Coturnix japonica: one gene and its partners. The protein of the gene in region 1 interacts with the protein of each later gene in a biochemical or structural test. Links are inferred from orthologs where the notes say so. Each region holds a gene or a part of one and is shown in the gene's direction. Other genes may lie near its edges.

Region 1 (6,374 bases):
TTTTGTGGTAAACATTCTTAGACTTATGTAAAGGGGGGTTATGTTGATGATGCGTCCTTGCCCGATCACGTGCACATCTGAGCCAGACTTCCCTGCTTGGGCTTATTGTTCTGACTGCATTCACTCTGTTGAGGAGAAGGCCCTTTCTAGTATCTTGAAGGAAACATTTTACTGCCTAAGTGTGTAAATCACCTTTGATCAAACTTCTGAGGTTTGAAAGCACTTTTCCAGTAACCCAGACTCAGGGTATACAGTATATTTTAGCCTTGTTTATGGTAAGTCTTTGCAAAGTATCCTTAAAAAAAAAAAAGACTTGAATCTCCATGTCTTGCCCACGTGTATTTTGTCTGTTTGTAGGTTAATCCGCTTGTGCTTAGTTTTAAATGTTGAAACTAAGGTGATTATCCAGCTCTTAAGGCGGATTTCCTTTCTGCTTCTCCTACTTGACTTCAGAGTAGGTAGTTCAGACTTTTGCAGGTTATTTTTCTTGCAGTATCATCACTGCTGTGCTTATTGCTTAATTTTTTAGCATCTTTTCTACTTTAATATGCTCTTCCTTTTTTTTTTTTCTTTTCAAATTTACATTGTTTTGTAGTTTCTCAACCAACATGGTGGAGCTTTTCCAATGTTGTTACTTGAGATCAACTGAAGCAGGGAAATGAAGCTTTCTGATGTGAATTCAGCATGATATTCTAATGAACAAAATTGAACTAGGTGAAGGCAGCGATCCTAGCTAAAATTCTGTAGTTTTTATCCTAAAAAACGTCTGAGAATTGTGAGATTTTCTTGTTAGTCCATTCTTCCCTTTCAAAGTAATTCAAGAACTTACTTTCCTGAGTGGTTTTGTTTTTCTTCTTATGTTTGGGTGGGAGAAGAGAGGGCTTAAAGGTCTGACAGAGATTAAAACGTATTTCTAAAGAGGCGGTTGATACAAATGTGCTGTAGAGATAGCACAGAAGGTGAGGATTAAGGATTACCTGAGCCACTGTAATGTTCCAGTGTGACTTTTTGCTTTAAGGACTACTTAATTCTCAAGAATGTTCCCAGTCTGTTTCCCGTGCTGCCATGTCACCATCTGTTAATTTGGTTGCCTTAAAACCTTGTACTTAGGGTGCATGATGGCAAGAAATAAATGCTGCCACTGCATGTACTTTGTTATTTTTAAGAGAAGGCAACTTTTCACATTGAAAATATTAACTACATGCCAGGGATGACATGGAGCTGCAATCATCATTGCTTATAAATTGCTCTTGGAATCACTTCCTTAAAAAGAATGTCTTGAGAATCTGCATCTCTGGTTTTTATTTATGCTCATATGCCAAGATGACTAATAATCGTAGTGTGCTTTTGTCTGCGATAGCAATACACGTCCTTTACATCTTCCTAAGATTCAGTATGTTGCTATTTACTCCTGTATGTCGTATTCATTGCAGGCTAGTGGAAATGAGCAAGTCCCAGTTGTAGCGAGTTGTCTCTGTACGGTACAGTCAGTGTTGGGATATTGCCATTACTGTAGGGAAATGTTTGGGAGGGGGAAGTAAACAGAAGAAGGATTATTTTTTTTTATCCCCAAGAGAAATGATAAAGCTTTGAGGTGTTTGGTGGGGTTTGTTGTTGTTGCTGTTGGTTTTTACCTTTAAGTTTGCAAAGTCCATTAGAGTGCAGTCAACTTCACTTGTTGGTGACAAGGATATGCATCTGACTTCCCGATTTTTCTCCTTTTCCCATCTCCATTTGGGAAATTCTATGACCCAGCAGAAGGGGTCATTTGAGTGAGCTTGAGAACACATCATTTTAAAGCAGTCTTGGTTTTCTGAGGATGTGACATGGGTGATCTTTTTCATGCTGTGGTAATTGCTTTGGTCTTGTTGTGGGCACTGCGTAGCAGAGCCTCTGGAAAATCTGCAAACACTTGAGCTATACGAGCATTAGAAGAGGCCTTAACTCTACAAATATCCTCTGGCCAAACCCAAGAGAAACATAAATAGATTAGTTAGAAATCCAGAGATTTTTCCTCGTGACCATAAAGCCTGTATTAAACTAAGTATTTCTATGCACATTACTTGGGAGTTTCTTTCCAAATATTAACGCAGAGTTGAAATTATATATTTAATTAGAAATATGCTGTGCACGACTCCGTATCCCTTAATCCATCATTTTCAGCTTTTGTTGCTTTGATTGATTATTTTTTCCCCCTCTATTAGCTGTGCTGTTCTGGTACTAGAAGGGCTTGTAATGAAAATGCAGAACAGTCTTCTTGGGTTTTAGTGCTCCCCTCGCTGAGCTGCATAAACATGTTATTTAGAATGTTTTCTATTAGTATTTTTCAATACAATCACAGTCTCTTAGGGCTGCTGATGTTGTCATGTGTACATGAAGAGCAGTGCTGAATTTTTAGTGTGTTACTATTTCAAATGTAAGAAACTGCTTTTGCCTCATTGCTTTCTTTTCACATGTGAAGTATAACTCAGAACATCAACGTATACATTCTCCTCTCTGAGTTACTTTTGTAAAAGGTAAAATCTTTTGCTCTTACTAAACGCTTCCTCAAACTCTTTAAAATAATTTCTTTTTCAAGATAAACCCAAATTGCCTGAAAACTACACAGATGAAACCTGGCAAAAACTGAAAGAAGCTGTAGAAGCAATCCAGAACAGTACTTCCATTAAGTACAACTTAGAGGAGCTCTATCAGGTAAGTGCTTTAAGTACACTTAAGTACAAGTGTTGAGGTGAGGGATTTTCTCGGTGGTTTAGGGTTTTTTTTTTTGGTGTCTTTTCCTGTTGTTTGATCTTACAGCAATGGTAGGAACGTGACGTTCTGTTGACAAATAAGGCAAGTAGCTGTATTTGGGTTTTCTGGTGTGTGGCTGCTAAAGGAGAAATATGAAAGTCCTAAAATGGTGGTATTTAAGTAAGAAAAGGATTACTGACAGTTCTGATTGAGGCTCATAGGTAATTAATTTGAAAACCACCATTTTTTGTTTGCCTTTCTAAAAGTAAATATAATACTGTCTTGGTTCGGTTTGTCTGTAATTGCTTGTCATTCAGCATTATTTCTAACTGAGAACTAACATCTGTTTGTTTCCTGCAACAGCTCTGACTATTTTGCCCTAAACCTTTCAGGAAGTGATTGGTCTTAAGCTGCATCTCGTAACGTTTTATTTATAAACTTTTCTTTTTGAGTTAATGTGATAGGGAGTCGACTTTTCCTCCTTACTTACTCTGAACTTAAGGTTTTAGTGGCATTACTACTTAAGCTAGGTATAGGGAAGCACTCTCATTATTTTGAAAGGTTTTATTACAGTGTTGGTTGTTCTCTGTTTCTGTATCTGTTGTTCAGTTCATCTGTTTTTGAGTTTGTTCTTCCTCATTCCCTCCCTCCCCTTCTTGCTAAATATTGTTTTAGATTTGCCTGGTTTCTGTGAAAAGCTGGGGGCAGAAATGCAGTTTGCAGAAGGTTTGGGATCAGATCAAGGGGAAAAATAAGTTATTTTCCTTGTGAAACCTGGATCTTCCCAGGCCAAGTTCCTTGGTCTGGTGCATTTTTAAGGTTATGACAATTTTTTATAATGCTCAGTGGTGAAACTAATGGCAAAGTACAGACCACCAGATTAGTTCATATCTAAAATAACATGCTCTAGACTGAACAACAGAGCAAATAAGTGCACTGTATTCATAATGGCTTAAAGATGCAAGGTTGTTAATACAACTTTGTATTGTGCTATGAAGTTGCCACTTAAATTCCTGCTGCTTTTTCTCACAGCCTTCGTTTTTGATGACACTTGTGCTAACAAAAAAGGATAAGATTATTCTTTTAAATCTGTTTTAACATCGTAATGATGTAGATACATTTTAAGAAAATAGAGAAATCATACTTGATTGCACACTCATTTTTATAAATATAAAAGTGTTGTGATTTAAAATGATTGGGAATCACTGTTGTTTTTAGTGCATACTGATGTCATTTCTGAATAACTGTTTGGTAAATGGATCTGATTCCAAATGTGCCTTGGCAGACACTATCCAAGCATAGAGGAAGTTGCAGGAGTCTGCAGAAGTTGTTGCAGCACATATCAAAATAGGATGCCTTTTTTAATGGAGTTGTTTAGTTTCACTCTTGTCTGTGTTGGAAAAACTTGCTGAGCAGACACTGAAGTTTTGTTAGTTTGTGGCTGTTAGTTTTGCACTTACTCTATTCCCCCTCCAAGAGGAGAGAGAACACAGTTGTGAGAGGCTGAAATTCTGTGCGATTGACTGCAGCTTTATGGGAACAATTCTTCTGTTAATACCAGAAAGTAAAGATCTCGATCTTTGGTACCTTATCTATAATTACTTTTTTTCCCCTTAATTAATCACAGTACATCTGGGAAGTTCTGAGGTTCCCTTGTCAGAGCAGTGCTTGTTTTGTCCCTGCTTTCCCTAACACGAACCCTAGTTTGGATGCTTTAATTAAAAGACTAGAATTCATCTTGAACATGGATTCAGATGTTTTGACCATCTGTAAGACACCGATGTCTTCACGAAATGTTTTAATTTGGCAATTCAGAATAAAACCACCTGATGAATTACAGCTTCTAAAGTTATCAGGAATTCCTTAGATAGAATTATGTCTTGTAAGTCTAGCAATAAAATTGGCAGTAGCATTGCAGCAGCGTTGTGCTTCGTGGAGCAGATTTGGTAACGCTTTTATCTGTGCGCTTAGGAAGTTTGTCTTCTTAAAAATCATCATCATAATGCCAGTAAGTTGGGCAGAATTCACAGATTATAAATATTGTTGTGGTTGTTACCAGCAAAGGTGCAGCAGCTTTGTATTTGGTATTCAAGCACATGCCTTCTGTTTAAGATTTTGGGATTTCTGATGCACAAATGGGAAAGCACAGCTTTTATATGAATGATGTATAGAAGCAAGCACATGCTCATATGTGCTAATAGGTGTGTCTTTCTGCCTGCAGTGAAAAAGCCAAGTTTTATAAGGACTTGTGGCAGTGTGGTTAAATAGCACTTGGGTTGATAGGCAGCAGTGAGGAGGATGTTCAGCTGAAGTGGCTGAGCTGAGCTCTCAGCTGCTGGTGAAGTACGGTGAAATAGCTGCAGGGGTCAGAGTGCTGCTTAGAAGTGAGGCTGGCAGGGCTATGCGGGCAGCTAGCAAATCAGGAACATCCATCTTTCTTGCTCTTTGTTGTCTCCTCCAAAATAAGTGAGAGAAGTAGTAGTCTGCTTACTGCACTCGATGGAACTTTATCAGTCTCTTTAAATTTGGTGTTTTCAATCATTGTTTTCTTCTGAAATCAAAGTAGCCATTAAACAGCAGCAGATCTTGGGAATTAATGTTGAGCCTACCCCTATGGGTGGTACAGCACGATAGAGTTGATTGTCCTTCACAACCTACTCTGAAATGTAATCTGGAATGTGTTCTTATTGTATTGTTGTGTTTGTTTGGGATTCCTTCCATGTTAAGAGTTAAATTTATTGCTGTTTACAAATACTAAGATCTGTGTATTTTGACAATTTCTGTCTTTTCTAATAATCCGAACTCAGATGTCACATACCTGGCTCATATTTCTGTACATTGGTGCTTAGAAGATGCTGGCTCAGCTTTAATTGTCACGCTTACTCTTGCTCTACCTGTTTCTTTCTGTCGAGCTTATGCAAGTTTGATTTTCCTGTTGGCAGTGTTGGCTGGTTTTTATTTTGTTCCAGCTTTGCTGTGTCACAGAGCCCATATTTACTGACTGCACTTGTGCTGCCTACATCAAGAAGTGCTGTGTACCCCAGGAGTGATTACCAGTTTAACTGCTTTGATTATTGCTGTGCTTGTAATGGTGGCTGTTAGCAAGTATTTGAGGGGGCTTCAATGTGATGGAATAGGCGTGCTCTAATAAGACCTCATGTTTTAATCTGCTCAGGGCACAGCTCTCCTTTGTCTCTCAGTACAGTTGCAATGTCTTGTATCTCTAGTGTTTGGCATGAAGATGATGGACTCTGAGTGAGAAGCAGAAGAATCCCATGTCTTTTTTTTTCCTTGTAAAACCACATGTGAGAGCATAAACAGACTTCTTATAATTGCTTTCTCTTTATTTCAGGCTGTTGAAAATCTCTGCTCCTACAAGATTTCAGCAAACTTGTACAAACAATTGAGACAAATCTGTGAAGACCACATTAAAGCACAAATTCACCAGTTCAGAGAATATCCTTTTTAGCTGTTGACAAGCCAAAATGTTTTTACCTGCCAGTTTGTAGTGATGGATTTCTCTAAGTAGTTCATGACACTGAACTATGGTGAGCTGAATTCCTGGTTTTTGCATAGTTGGTTCTAAAGGTGCTTTTGTACGACCTCGTGAAGACCAATTCTGGTTCCTTTGTAACCATCTG
Region 2 (5,752 bases), on another chromosome or scaffold:
CTGGAAGCCAGAATCACCTGCTTCACAGTTGCATTCTTACAGTTCTAGCTAAAGAGGATTTGATCATTAGCTGTAGCAGCAAGTCATACTTTTTCAAATCAAATGATAACTGAGAGAAGTAAGATCATGCTCTTTTTCTAGTTTTGTATTTTACCCTTTAGAGGGCTGACTGCACAGCATGGGAACTCTGAATTGTTTCCTCCTTCCCAGTGGTTAAACTGTGGACAGCATTCTTTGCTGCTGCTATTAATTTTACATCTTGTTGTAACTGACTGTCTATGCAGACAAATGGCAGTTAGTGCAAGTGCTTCCAAAATGCATGTAGATGATCGCAATTGTGAATCACAATGTGATTTTAATGTTACATTATTGATCAATCATGTCCATCAATTCAGGTGTAATACTTTTCTACAATGCCCAGGTGATCAGACAAAAAATCCAGCATGCTCTCACAGCTAGCAGGCAGATCTCAGCTCTGCCACGCTCAGGAATATCTAAGGTTGATCAAGATCATGACAATATATCCATCTGAAGAACTGCCAGCAGGAAAATTCAGTTGTATGTCTGTAGTGTAGCCTTGGTTGTGAATTGCTGCTACTCTCTGGAAGAGGAGCAGCTCACTGGGCAGTACCCCAGAGAAAAGAAAGGAATCTTGCATCATAGTGCTACTTTGACTTGCTTGAAACTTGCATTTTGTTACAGTAGGGTGGGTGAGAGGCAAATAACCCTGACAGAGAGAAATAAGGTGAGCTTCTCTGTAGCATGGCTTTGAAACTGGTAATACAATAGCTTTCCAGCAGCTGTTGGCTTGAGTTCCTCTGTTCTACCTATCTTTTCTAGCCACTCTCTGAATAAATTTCACTTTGGCTAACACATATAAGGGCTGAAGGTCTCCAAATCCCACTAAAGTGATAATATTACATCTAACCTTTTGCCATTGAGTAACAGTCTTGCAGGAAGTTTGCAAGACAATAGCAGGGAGAGTGCCAGCTCTGCTCTGCTGAGGGTTTACGGTTTGTGTGTGCATTCATACTGCTTCAGAGCAGGCTGAGAAGTACACTTTGTGTATTAATTTCTGCAGAAGAGAAGTAAATGTGAGTCTAGTGTAGAAGTCTGAAATCCAAAGTGATTTGTATGCTGAAACTTTACAAGTCGGCTTCAGCAATTACACTAGAAAAATAGCTTATTTCTTGCTGCATTAAAGCAACACAGGAGGGAAAAGGAAGTGCACAGACACTGCAAACACAACAGCAGGCTTCCTGCTGACCTTGGCTCTTGAACACAAAGCACATGCTGTTAAAATATAGGAGTTATCTGCAGAGACTGATTCAGAGCATGCAACTAAGTAGTATTTCAGACCGGCTGGGATGAAGTCTAGGTAGTTCTCCACCCATTTGTGTGGAATGAATTGTGAGGCGTAGGATGCACATTAACTGTTGACCTATATTATGGAGTGTAGGAAGCAGAGTTTCCTTTCCTTTGGAAACTGTTTCTGTGGTTTCCCTAATTTGCACTACTTTCTCTATGCTTTTGTGTAACCAAATTCCTGGAGCAGGTCTGCGCATGGAAAATTCATGACTCTTAAATCTGGAGGTTCATAATACCATTCTAAAGAATTTGCAGCAGAAAAGGTGAGAAATTTCTCAGATATCTGCATTGGTGTTATTCAACTTGACTGCAGATACAGTATATGGAGACATGCAATGCTATGTGGAATGGCAGCATGAAGGGGAGCAGCTTGAGACTGGCTCAGCAGAAGCCTGATTAATGTATCCTTGTCTTAAGTTTGGGGATATAACTAGTTTGCTTTTTGCCATGACCCCCCTCCAGCTCTCATAACAGCTTTTTTTCTGTTATCCAAGGTCTCCACAGTGTAGCTTTCACATTGGTATGGGATTGAGAGTGCTCAAACCCAGCTGATCATGCCACATTTCTGCTGTGCGGATTTGTAGATGGTCATTAGAGAACGAGAACTGCTGAGCTTGCTTCTTTTCTTCTACCTCTAGGAGCTTAATTTTGAAAATGCATTGGGTTCCCCAGCTGAGATATTATTGTTCTGTAAGTGCTCATTAAAGTGAAGATTAAGAGACCCAATCTTGGCAGTGATTTTCTCTTAGTCCAAGTTGAAGTAAGTTATTATGAAGTAGCACATTTTGTCTGGAAAGGAGCCTTTAATTCTCTCTGCTTTTAGGTGATTTGTAGTGAGATCCATTAATATGGTGTCATATTCCTTTTGATCTCATGCACCGGTCGTTTATTTTAAAGGGCTAGATAATGTAATAAGAGGAAGGGTCAAAAGAGGCTTGTAATGGTATCAAAGAGTCATGTAGGTGTTCACTTGACATGTTGTTTGTGAGACAGCCCTACATCCTAATGAAAAAGGCAAGTTATTCACACTAGATTTCTCATTGTTGTAATGAAGTACTTTACAGCAGCTAATGTAGAAAATTATGAGTTTGGATTAAACCTTTGGAAAACTGAAAACAGTCAGAGCTCTTGTGCCTGGGAGAGGAAACGCTTGGAGTCTTATCTTATGCTATCTTATTTGATTGCATCACCCCAAGTTAGATGTGCAGGCATCTAAAAGACATGTAAATGTGTTCTCTGTTGGAGTGTCCTATAAAAAAAATTCTCTAGTATTTCTGCAGACTGAGATCTTTGCTATATATGATGCCCGCTGTTACTGTTAAGGACCTTGTGAAGTCTTAGGTGTAAAGCTACCCTCTGACTATTGTATTAATAACCTGGGTTTTCAGAAGCTTCTGCTTTAAAAGCAGGGGATTTTAACAGCCTGACTAGTGAGCTCAAACACCATTATGACGTATTTGTCAGGAGGTCATTTGTTTTAAAGGCCAGTGACAGATTTTTTTTTTCTTGGGAATTTAAATCCTTGCTGGGGAGGTGAAGAATTTCTCATATGTCATTGGGTGTGGTAAATAACTGCCATCTTTGTCCTAAAATAGCAATGCAGAAAATTCTCCATCAAAAAGACAAGAAGGTGAAAGTATGTACTTTCCCATTCTCATTTTTTTTCATCTTAAAAAATTGCAATTGTTAATGCTTGACCAGGAGCATTGATCCTGTGGCATGGCACTGCATAATAAAGCTTTCCTGGTACAATTAGCTATGGGACCTGCTAATTGTACCTTTGGTACCTTTGTCCCTTAATTCAATCATGAAACTGTTAAAGATTGGGCAGATAGACTGACCAGCTGTGAATAGAGAGCCAGCCTTGTTTTCAGGCAGCTTCCCAAAACAGAGCTGTCTGGACTGAGCTATTGCAAAGCTGCCAGCAAGGCTCGATAAACTTAGAAGATTCAAGATCTGTTTTGTCTATCCATTAGTCCCTCAGCTACAGCTTAAGTAAGGGTTCTAGTCATAGAAGGAATAGAAGTCAGACATTAAGCCAACGTACTGTATTATACTTAGCCAAGTGATACAGGATTATGTGGACTTGTATCAGTTTAACTGTTAAAAGAAGCATCCATGCAATCTAATTCAGCAGGGTATATCTGAGAATCGGGGGCAGCACTGAATTAATCTCCTAGCTGGGACAGGTATGAAAGGGCTGTTTTTAGTCTGCTGCTCTGCGTTTCTCATCAGACTGCTTATTTTTGCTCCATCAGCACGATCAGCCAGCCCGCAGAATACTCCTGCCAAGGCCTTCTCAGTGGGCAACCCATGTGCTTCCTCACCACGTCCAGCTGCCTGTGCTCCCAGTTATTCTGGAGACCTTCCTCTATCTACAAACACTCCAACAATCTCTCTCAAAACACAAATGGCCTCAGTCTGCACTCCAGCAAAGCTGAGTGGAGTCAGCCCACGTGCTTCTCCCAAACTGGCGCCTTCCTCCAAAATGTCCATTAAACACTGGATTGCCAGGACTCCCTGCTCTTCCCCAGAAGTAGGGAAAAAGACACCTTCTCCTAGAAAAGCCCTGGCAGAAGTCACACAAAGTCTCTTGGAAACATCTAGCACTCCTAAAGCACAACACTTACAGGCTGAAAAGCGTGCCAAGAGAAGGCTGGACTGCAGCAAGGAAGATGAAGCAGGGCAGAAGTGTCTGCAGGCCTGTAGCTGTGTGACTGAACTGGACCATGTGGCTAAGAAGTCCAAGCTAAATTTATGTCACTTGGCTGCAGGCCAAAGAGCTTGTGATGAGGGCTCTCTAAATCTGGCTGACTTGGATAATGAGCATGAAGACAAGAGCCACAGCCCAAAAGAGCTTTCTTTTCCTGGAAATCATGTTAATCCATCCGGCACTTCAACTCCCCCTCTTGTTTTACAGTCTCCTGGTGAGAGACACTCAGATGTTGTAGATAAAGAGAATAGTTCACCAGAAAGAAGAAACTGGCTGTCTGCTCTGGGAGAGAGGCTACGGACTGGCAAAGCTGGCAGCCCCCCATCATCTTACAACTCCAGTGCAAAACGTCAAGAGGCTGCGGTAGCGACCACCTCACCAAAAGCTGTAAGTAGGATGATCAGGGGCAGTGGTAACGAGAGAAGTTATTCCTAGGTACCACTGTCCCCTTTCTACACACGGTCAGATCTCTCATAAACGCTTGGAGAATTGTCTGCTATCTTTAATTATGGACAAGAGATTATTTCTCGCTTAATAATCTAGGTATATTAATGCTGTAATACACTAATCCATTCTGTGCTGGAGGAGAATTCTTAAGATGGTCCTGTACCTCCTTTGAGAAGGACTTAGAGCACACAGAAGCTAAGAAATCCTCATAGCTCCCAGCTGGATGTTTGAAGGCTGTGGCTGTCTTCTGAAATACAGCTCTTCTCTGAGAAGTGCAATAATGACAGCACCTTTCCTGGCAGATCTACTGTTCAGTGTCACATCTGCCTGTTAATACTACTGAAAAGCCACTTGAGCACTGGAAGAAAGAGCTAAATTTTATTCTAGCCCAAGCAGCAGAGAACTTTTTACCCATGTTAAAACCGTGAGCTAAGTAATGCCTCCAGTTCTTTCTACTGAAAACTAACAGAAAACAAAGGAATCGCAGAAGAGTCAGAGGGTGGGATTTGACCTACATAATCTTAGTTTTGCTATATAAGAAACCTGTCACTGAGCTCATCCTAGGATCTGAATGACCTGCTTATAAAGCAGCTAGAGAAGTTGGCATGAGGACTGGAGGATTTAACATGCATACTGAGAAATTACATATTTAAAAAACAAACTAAACTCTGAAACTGGGCTCTAGGTCCTAAAGCATCTTTGACTGAATATTATTTCAGTGCTTTCCAAGTAAATTTCCAATTGTCAAAATTTCGCTTTATTTTCAAGTGAATGTTTGATGCTAGAAGTTGCTGCCATGTTTAGGGCCTGTTTTGCTGAAATATCTCGCATCTCTTTCAGTACTTCTACAAGGTGTGAAGTGTGCAGACCACCACACCTTGGGTCGCAGCAGTTGAACTCTTCATCTTGTAGTGGTACCAAGAAAACCTGCAAGTGCTTGTGATTTATGGTGTACCTGCTTAAACATAAAGACTAAGATTTGCCCTGGAGAGTGATTACCATAAAACAATTATCTCTCCCACATAGTATATTCTAGCTCAGATTTGAGAAGCTAAAACTGGAGCAGTGATGGAAAGGAGACTTTAAGAATTCTGCAGCATACAAACTGTTAACTCAGAAACATGTCTTGTTGGTTTTGTTTTTTTGTAGGCTGTAACCACTCCAGTTTCCATGAGGAAGATCTGCACGTACTTCCACAGAAAGCCACAGAACTGACTTGAAGTT
Region 3 (5,939 bases), on another chromosome or scaffold:
AGGAACACGTGCTGAGGGACTGCATGGGCAGGAATACCCCGATAGCAGCTGTGCCTCACGTGTGCTATGGAGAAACATACCATTTTGCATTAGCTGAACACGTTCCTGTGATGCTGTTGTCATATGTGATGTGACTTTTTGTGATCAGTGTGGGAACCGGGACACCAGGGCTCTATTTACAGATCTGCCTCTCATTCTGCAGGCAGAAACGTGGGCAGGTCCCTTAACCTTTCATCTGCCTGCCCATCTGTAAAATGTAGCGTGTCCTATAGAGCTGCAGATCTGTACAGTGTGTCACGCGCCCGACAGAACAGCAAAGTTCACTTTTTCTTTAAAGCCCTCTGAAAAATGCTCCCTGTAAAAAAATAGTCTTCAGGTACTGTGCAAGCCTTTACAGTGCTAAGTACTTCAAGTACCTGACTCTCTTGGGATTAAATTATAGAGCAATTTTTAAACTCTAATGAGAAAAATAAGTTTCACTCTTCCAATCACCAAGGTAAGTTATTGTTAAGAAATTGGTTATGAGTCAAAGCAGCTGTGCCTTTTCTGTTCGAATTAGCCACCTCAGACAGGGAGTGTGAGCATGCTTCTGAGCAGGCTGGGGAGGAAAGTAACTGGTAGTATTTATTCTGGCACTAAGGGAGATGCTGTTATTCATAGCTGGTTAGGCAGAGCTGTGACCCTCCCCTTCCTCTCCCTCTACATTACATGAATTAATTTTAAAATGCTTTTATTTTTATCTTTGAGCATCTGAATTAGTGGGTCAGCTCACACCACTACATCAAGCTGGAATTTCTGGTGACCTTGGGTTTGGGTTCAGGTCACTTGCTGTTTTGGGTAAGTGCCTGGGTATGTAGCCTGAATGTCCACTAAATGAAAGTTAGCTTATTTCACTTGCATGGAGAACTAGTGTGGTCTGCCTTGGCAGCATGGTGAAGAACATGTGTGGGAGTCACCAGACAGTAGAAATAGGCTGTTATATGAATCTGTGCTGTTGTTCAGCACAAGGCACGCTGCTCAGGAAGCTTTGCTCTGATCCAGTCAGCTGAAACTGAAACCTGAGGAGAGTGGGAAGGGGAGAGGACAACTCCCTAACTCCCAGAGTAGAGGTGCTTCTTGGCCACTTGAATGGTAAAGCTGACTTCTGGCCTTCGATAATCTGTCTTTCTGGCATTTCCAGCATGTCTGTGTCTCAGTTCTTGTAGTCTGAGGACTTCTGACCTTCCAATTCCTACTATGGCATCAGCCCTGGCCTGTTCTCTGAGGAGGCATGTGCCTTAACTGGCAGTTCAGCCATAACGTGTAGTAATTAAGGGGATGGGAATAGCAGGAGATGCTGCAGTGTGCGCTGTGTGCATGGACTCCTCTTGTGAAGCATATGTTTGTAATGTTAAGGAGTATCGGCTGGGGATCCTGGCTGATACACAGTTCCAGCACTCCTGCATGGGCCAGCTTATAGCAGGCGATCTGTCAAGAGCACAGTACCTGCTGTTCCAGGGCTTGTGTAGGTAGGGTGGGCTGGCATTCCTCTCAACCAGGTTGCACATCTTGGCTTTCTCAAGCTTCCTGTCTGGCCTGACCAGATGGTTGGTAATGAAGTGCTTATGACTGTGTCCCCAGAAGGAAGCAGCAGCGACTGAATTCAAAACCATGCTTCTCAAACCTTCCACTTACTCCTGCTCAAGATTGATGTTCCAATATTACCTGGCATTCATGTTTTTCACACTGAAGTTTCCAGTCCTTCCAATCCTTCCTTATTCTGTTCTTGGTCTTCCTTGTGCTGGTCAGTCTGGTTCCTAGCTCATGCATCAACATCCTGGATAGGATTTCTTTGCTTGCAGTTACTGGCCATGCTCTGCACAGTCGGTGTTCTTGCACAATCCTCTGGGCTCTGCTCCAAATTCTCATGTGATTACTGGTGTCTCCACAGTCTCGCTAATGCCCTAATCAAGGAGCTATGTAATTGTTGTATGTATGGTTGATATAGCAGACTTGCTACGTTCCTAGCAGAAAAGGACTTATTCTGCTTGTGAGAATTAAGCTTGCCCTTAATATCTGCTGTGTTTCTACAGCAGGGCAGTATGTCAGCAGGCTTGCTTGAAGAAATTAGGCATACTCTGTGGTGGAGGAAGTCAATGGTATTTGATGCAAATACCACTGAGACAGAGAATAAAAGGAGTAAGCTGTCACCGACTGACTGCATAAATGTTAACAGCTTTAACTATCTTGTTTTTTCCACAAAAAATAACATCTACAGCAGCATGGTGTTGTCTGTGCTGAATATCCCAGCTCCCATACTGGAGACACGATCTCTATCCCACAGTCCCAGGTGTTTTGTCTTCCTAGTCAGCGTGGCATTTTGGTTTTTGTTGTGTTTTAACTTCAGCCTACATCTTAGCCTTGTTGACATTTGTGTTGATTTCTTTGGTGCCAGGAGAGCTCGTGGTTTTCTCCTCCTCTAATCAGCACTGTGATAGCTTCATGGAGCTGGGAGTGAGATTTATCTCTTTAATAAGAATCGTCAGGATCCCACTGTGGAATGATTCTGGCAGTTCATGATTACTGATTGTTTTCCCCAGACGGTCTGGTTAAGGTTTGTAGCAAAAGGAGAATGGTGAAAAACAGAACTGGGCTTGAATGTTCCTGCTGTGGGTTTTAATCTACATGGGCTATTTTTCCAAGAGATTTTCTTTTTCAGAGGCATTTGACAGTGGTTCCCTCAGAGCTCAGTACAACCAGATTATGAGGGGAAGTTTGAGGGAGAGTAAACAAAAACCTTAAGAGATGTTCCTCGAAAAAATACCTGTTGGGGAGAGCAGGAACCTACACACTGGACTTCTTGACTAAGGGCACTGCATTTGTTTGGCATTTGAAGGAAAGTTACAGAAATGAAATACTGAACTTCCACTGGAGCAAAGCCTGTCTTCTGTCCCAGCACACGTGCCCTGTTATTCAGTGACATTGTGCATGCATTTTCTTGGTGCTTTAGTCTGCCTGATGCACCAAAGTTGCTTTTGCTCTCTCTTTGCAGGTGAAGGTCCAGAATACGGGGCCGGTGGGGAGGATGCCCTGAGCAGGATACAAAGGCTGATGGCAGAAGGTGGCATGACTGCTGTGGTGCAGCGGGAGCAGAGCACCACCATGGCGTCCATGGGTGGCTTTGGCAACAACATCATAGTGAGTCACCGGATCCACCGCAGCTCTCAGACTGGTGCGGAGTCCACTGGAGCTGAGGGAACATCAGCACATCAGTCCACCTCACAGCAGCTGGCATCTGAGCTGGAGGGACGGATCCTTTCAGAGTCTATGCAGCTGTCGGAGCACGGCCTGAGCCCGCGGACATCTTCTGGTGGGAGTGAAGGACGAGGCACTGGTGACCTGGACCTGCCGGAGCAGGCCCAGCCCTCCATGGACACTGAGGGACCAATCGAATACAGTGACCTAACTAATAATAACCATCTTCCTGACAGTACCAACTTCTATAGTAATGACAGCACCAGTGGGGAGTCGCGGAACAGGTAGAAATGAGTTGTGTGTTGGTGCTACCCTTGTACTGCTCAGCAGAGACCTGTACCTCACAGCTGGCCGGAAGCTGGAAGAGTAGGGACATGTGGCTCCAACAGGATGTTGGTAGTTCAGAGGGTTTCTATGTCCTGGGTGAGTGGCAATGGATAAGAACTGCGAGGAAGCCATGGGCAAGAAAGCATAGTATCTTAACTTCCAACATTCCCACTGCTGAATAAGAACAGGAATATAAACAATACTGGCTGTACTCCATGCAGATTTTGAAGTCGTGTGGGATCCCCTGAGCTCAACCCTGCAGTTTGGTCAGTGTCATTCTTTGTAATGCTTCTCCCCTTTCCTCTTTCCTGCCCATTTATGCATAGGGGCTGATCAGCAGAGTGAAGGGAAACAGGCCTGCAGCATCCTTCTGGAGACTGGCAGCCCTCCTGTGCAAACCTGGGCGTGATGCTCCAGCGCTGTTGCTGGAGCAGAGGAGTCTTCCAGGACACAGTCCTGTGCTGTGGTCTTTTCTGGGAAGAGCTAGGATTCATCAAAACCTTCATGGCTCGGGAACTGCTTACACGTGGGGATCTTTCCTTCTTAGAAATTAGGTTAGTACTTGCCAGGAACCTAAGCAGAGCTGCTATGTAGATGAATAGAGGGACAGGGGCTACTGCTCTCCAGTCAGGATGCAGTTCATAAGTTGTGCCAACATTTAACATGAATGAGCCATCCCAGTGGTTTCATGGTGCCAGGACTGAGCTGCACCTCCTTGGCAGGGGGCAGGAAATGTCTTTGAGCTCCAGGCCAGGGTGTGAGGTATGGGTCTGTGATGTAAGGTGTTGCATGTGAAATCTTGACCTTGTACATGTAGTTTCTAGTGGAGAAATCAAGGCTCTGATATTCTGTTTTTAGTCTCAAATGTGATTTTCCTTTTCGTTTGTAACTCTCCATCCCTAGCAGGTTTGTGGAGGAAGGACGGGGAGAGTGTGAGTGCTAACGAGGGAAACACCAAAGATTAATGTCATTAAAATATGACAAACCCTTGCTTGACCTACTGTCTTCATTTGTGTGATGGATCTCTATGGGATTGACTTTGGGAGATAGGTACATCCAGCTCAGGAACTCAGGGTAGCTTACAAACGTCAGATAATGGTCATTCCCTTTCCGGAAGGATGGCAGGCTCAGCGTTGGAGTGGAAGGCTTTCAACTATGCAGCAGAGGGGAGGAATAGAGAATCTCAATTGCAATTTGCCTTTCAACCAGTCTGGGGATGAGCAGGCACTTCTGCATTTCCTATCATTCAGGTACTGCAACAGAGAGAAAGTGGAGCATTTCCCCTGTCCTGTTCAAAATGGTACGTAACAGCTCTGTCCATCTTAGACAAGCAGAGAGGGATCTGTCTTGCTGAACTCTTGAAGCAGAAAAGAGATCCAGGGTCTGGCTGTCCTGGATAAAGGAATGCACGCCCCAGCGTCTGTTACCACTGTCTGCACTGAGGGATGCTTCCTCTGCCATCAGATCACCTGCCAGCAGCTGCTGTGCTTCTGCTCTGCTCCTCTAGACTCTGCACTGCAAAGATGTTACAATAAATAAGGCTGTCATTAGGCAGCACTCAGGCTCCCAGTCAGAAGAGTCTGTTAGAGAACATTAAGCAAATCTTCTCTTAAATCACAGCCTGGAAATGAACCTTAAATCAAATCAGCTGCTGCCAGGCCTCATTGCAGAGTGTTAATGAGACTCTAAAACCTGCCCTGAGCCAACCACATCCCTGATCTGACAGGAGAGCAGCCTGAAAAACGGGATTCCCTTGTGTGATGAGGAAGGCTTCATGCATCCCTATAGCCTCAGTGTCGGGTGGCAGGAGGATGTGCCGACACTGGGAGCTGGAGGAGCTTTGTCTCAGCTGAGGACTCGAGCAGCACAGGGCAGCACAGGTCTGGGCAGAGCTGTTTACTGCTCTGCTTGAAAACAAAAACAGAGCCTGGAAAAAAAATGCTTCTGCTTCAGCTCAGCCTGGCATCTCCTGTTCCCTCTCCTTGCATGGTTTCTGGAAGAGTCTTCAGGCCCATTCTCAGTGGATGTGTTGCAGAGCATTTACACATGTCCATTTCTGTAACCAGAGCCAAACTACCTATGGAAAAATTTCCATCATGGTTGGGAAAAGATCTTCTGGGCTGTGTTGCTCTAGCAAGAGGTTCTCAAAGGCCTGGTGCCATGGAGGGCTGCTCTGTGCAGGGCCCAGAGCTTTTCTGCTGGGAGCTGCCACTTGGTCAGGACCTGTCCCCGTTGAGACACTGGCAGAGCGGCAGTGAACTCCAGTGGGAGCTGCAGCAAACTGCAGCCGTTCCACTTGGCATCAACTTGGGACGCTTCTGAAGTTCCAAAGCAGCTGCTTGTTTGAGGGCTTGTGGGGAAAGCCCACAGATGACATA

What was found.
Region 2: the proteins of CUL4B (region 1) and DTL form a complex in vitro, tested with the Homo sapiens proteins (2 studies listed by BioGRID). The link is inferred for Coturnix japonica from reciprocal best matches to the Homo sapiens genes CUL4B and DTL.
Region 3: the proteins of CUL4B (region 1) and AMBRA1 form a complex in vitro, tested with the Homo sapiens proteins (2 studies listed by BioGRID, with this or other methods). The link is inferred for Coturnix japonica from reciprocal best matches to the Homo sapiens genes CUL4B and AMBRA1.

The regions. Positions count from the first base shown.
Region 1 is NC_029519.1:15,294,747-15,301,120, forward strand, and holds part of CUL4B (cullin-4B), read left to right. Parts: intron 1-2,578; coding exon 2,579-2,694; intron 2,695-6,085; coding exon 6,086-6,189; intron 6,190-6,374.
Region 2 is NC_029518.1:19,431,779-19,437,530, reverse strand, and holds part of DTL (denticleless protein homolog), read left to right. Parts: intron 1-3,626; coding exon 3,627-4,468; intron 4,469-5,677; coding exon 5,678-5,743; 3' UTR 5,744-5,752. UniProt on the Homo sapiens protein: Substrate-specific adapter of a DCX (DDB1-CUL4-X-box) E3 ubiquitin-protein ligase complex required for cell cycle control, DNA damage response and translesion DNA synthesis.
Region 3 is NC_029520.1:21,104,395-21,110,333, forward strand, and holds the end of AMBRA1 (activating molecule in BECN1-regulated autophagy protein 1), read left to right. Parts: intron 1-3,031; coding exon 3,032-3,522; 3' UTR 3,523-4,557; downstream 4,558-5,939. UniProt on the Homo sapiens protein: Substrate-recognition component of a DCX (DDB1-CUL4-X-box) E3 ubiquitin-protein ligase complex involved in cell cycle control and autophagy.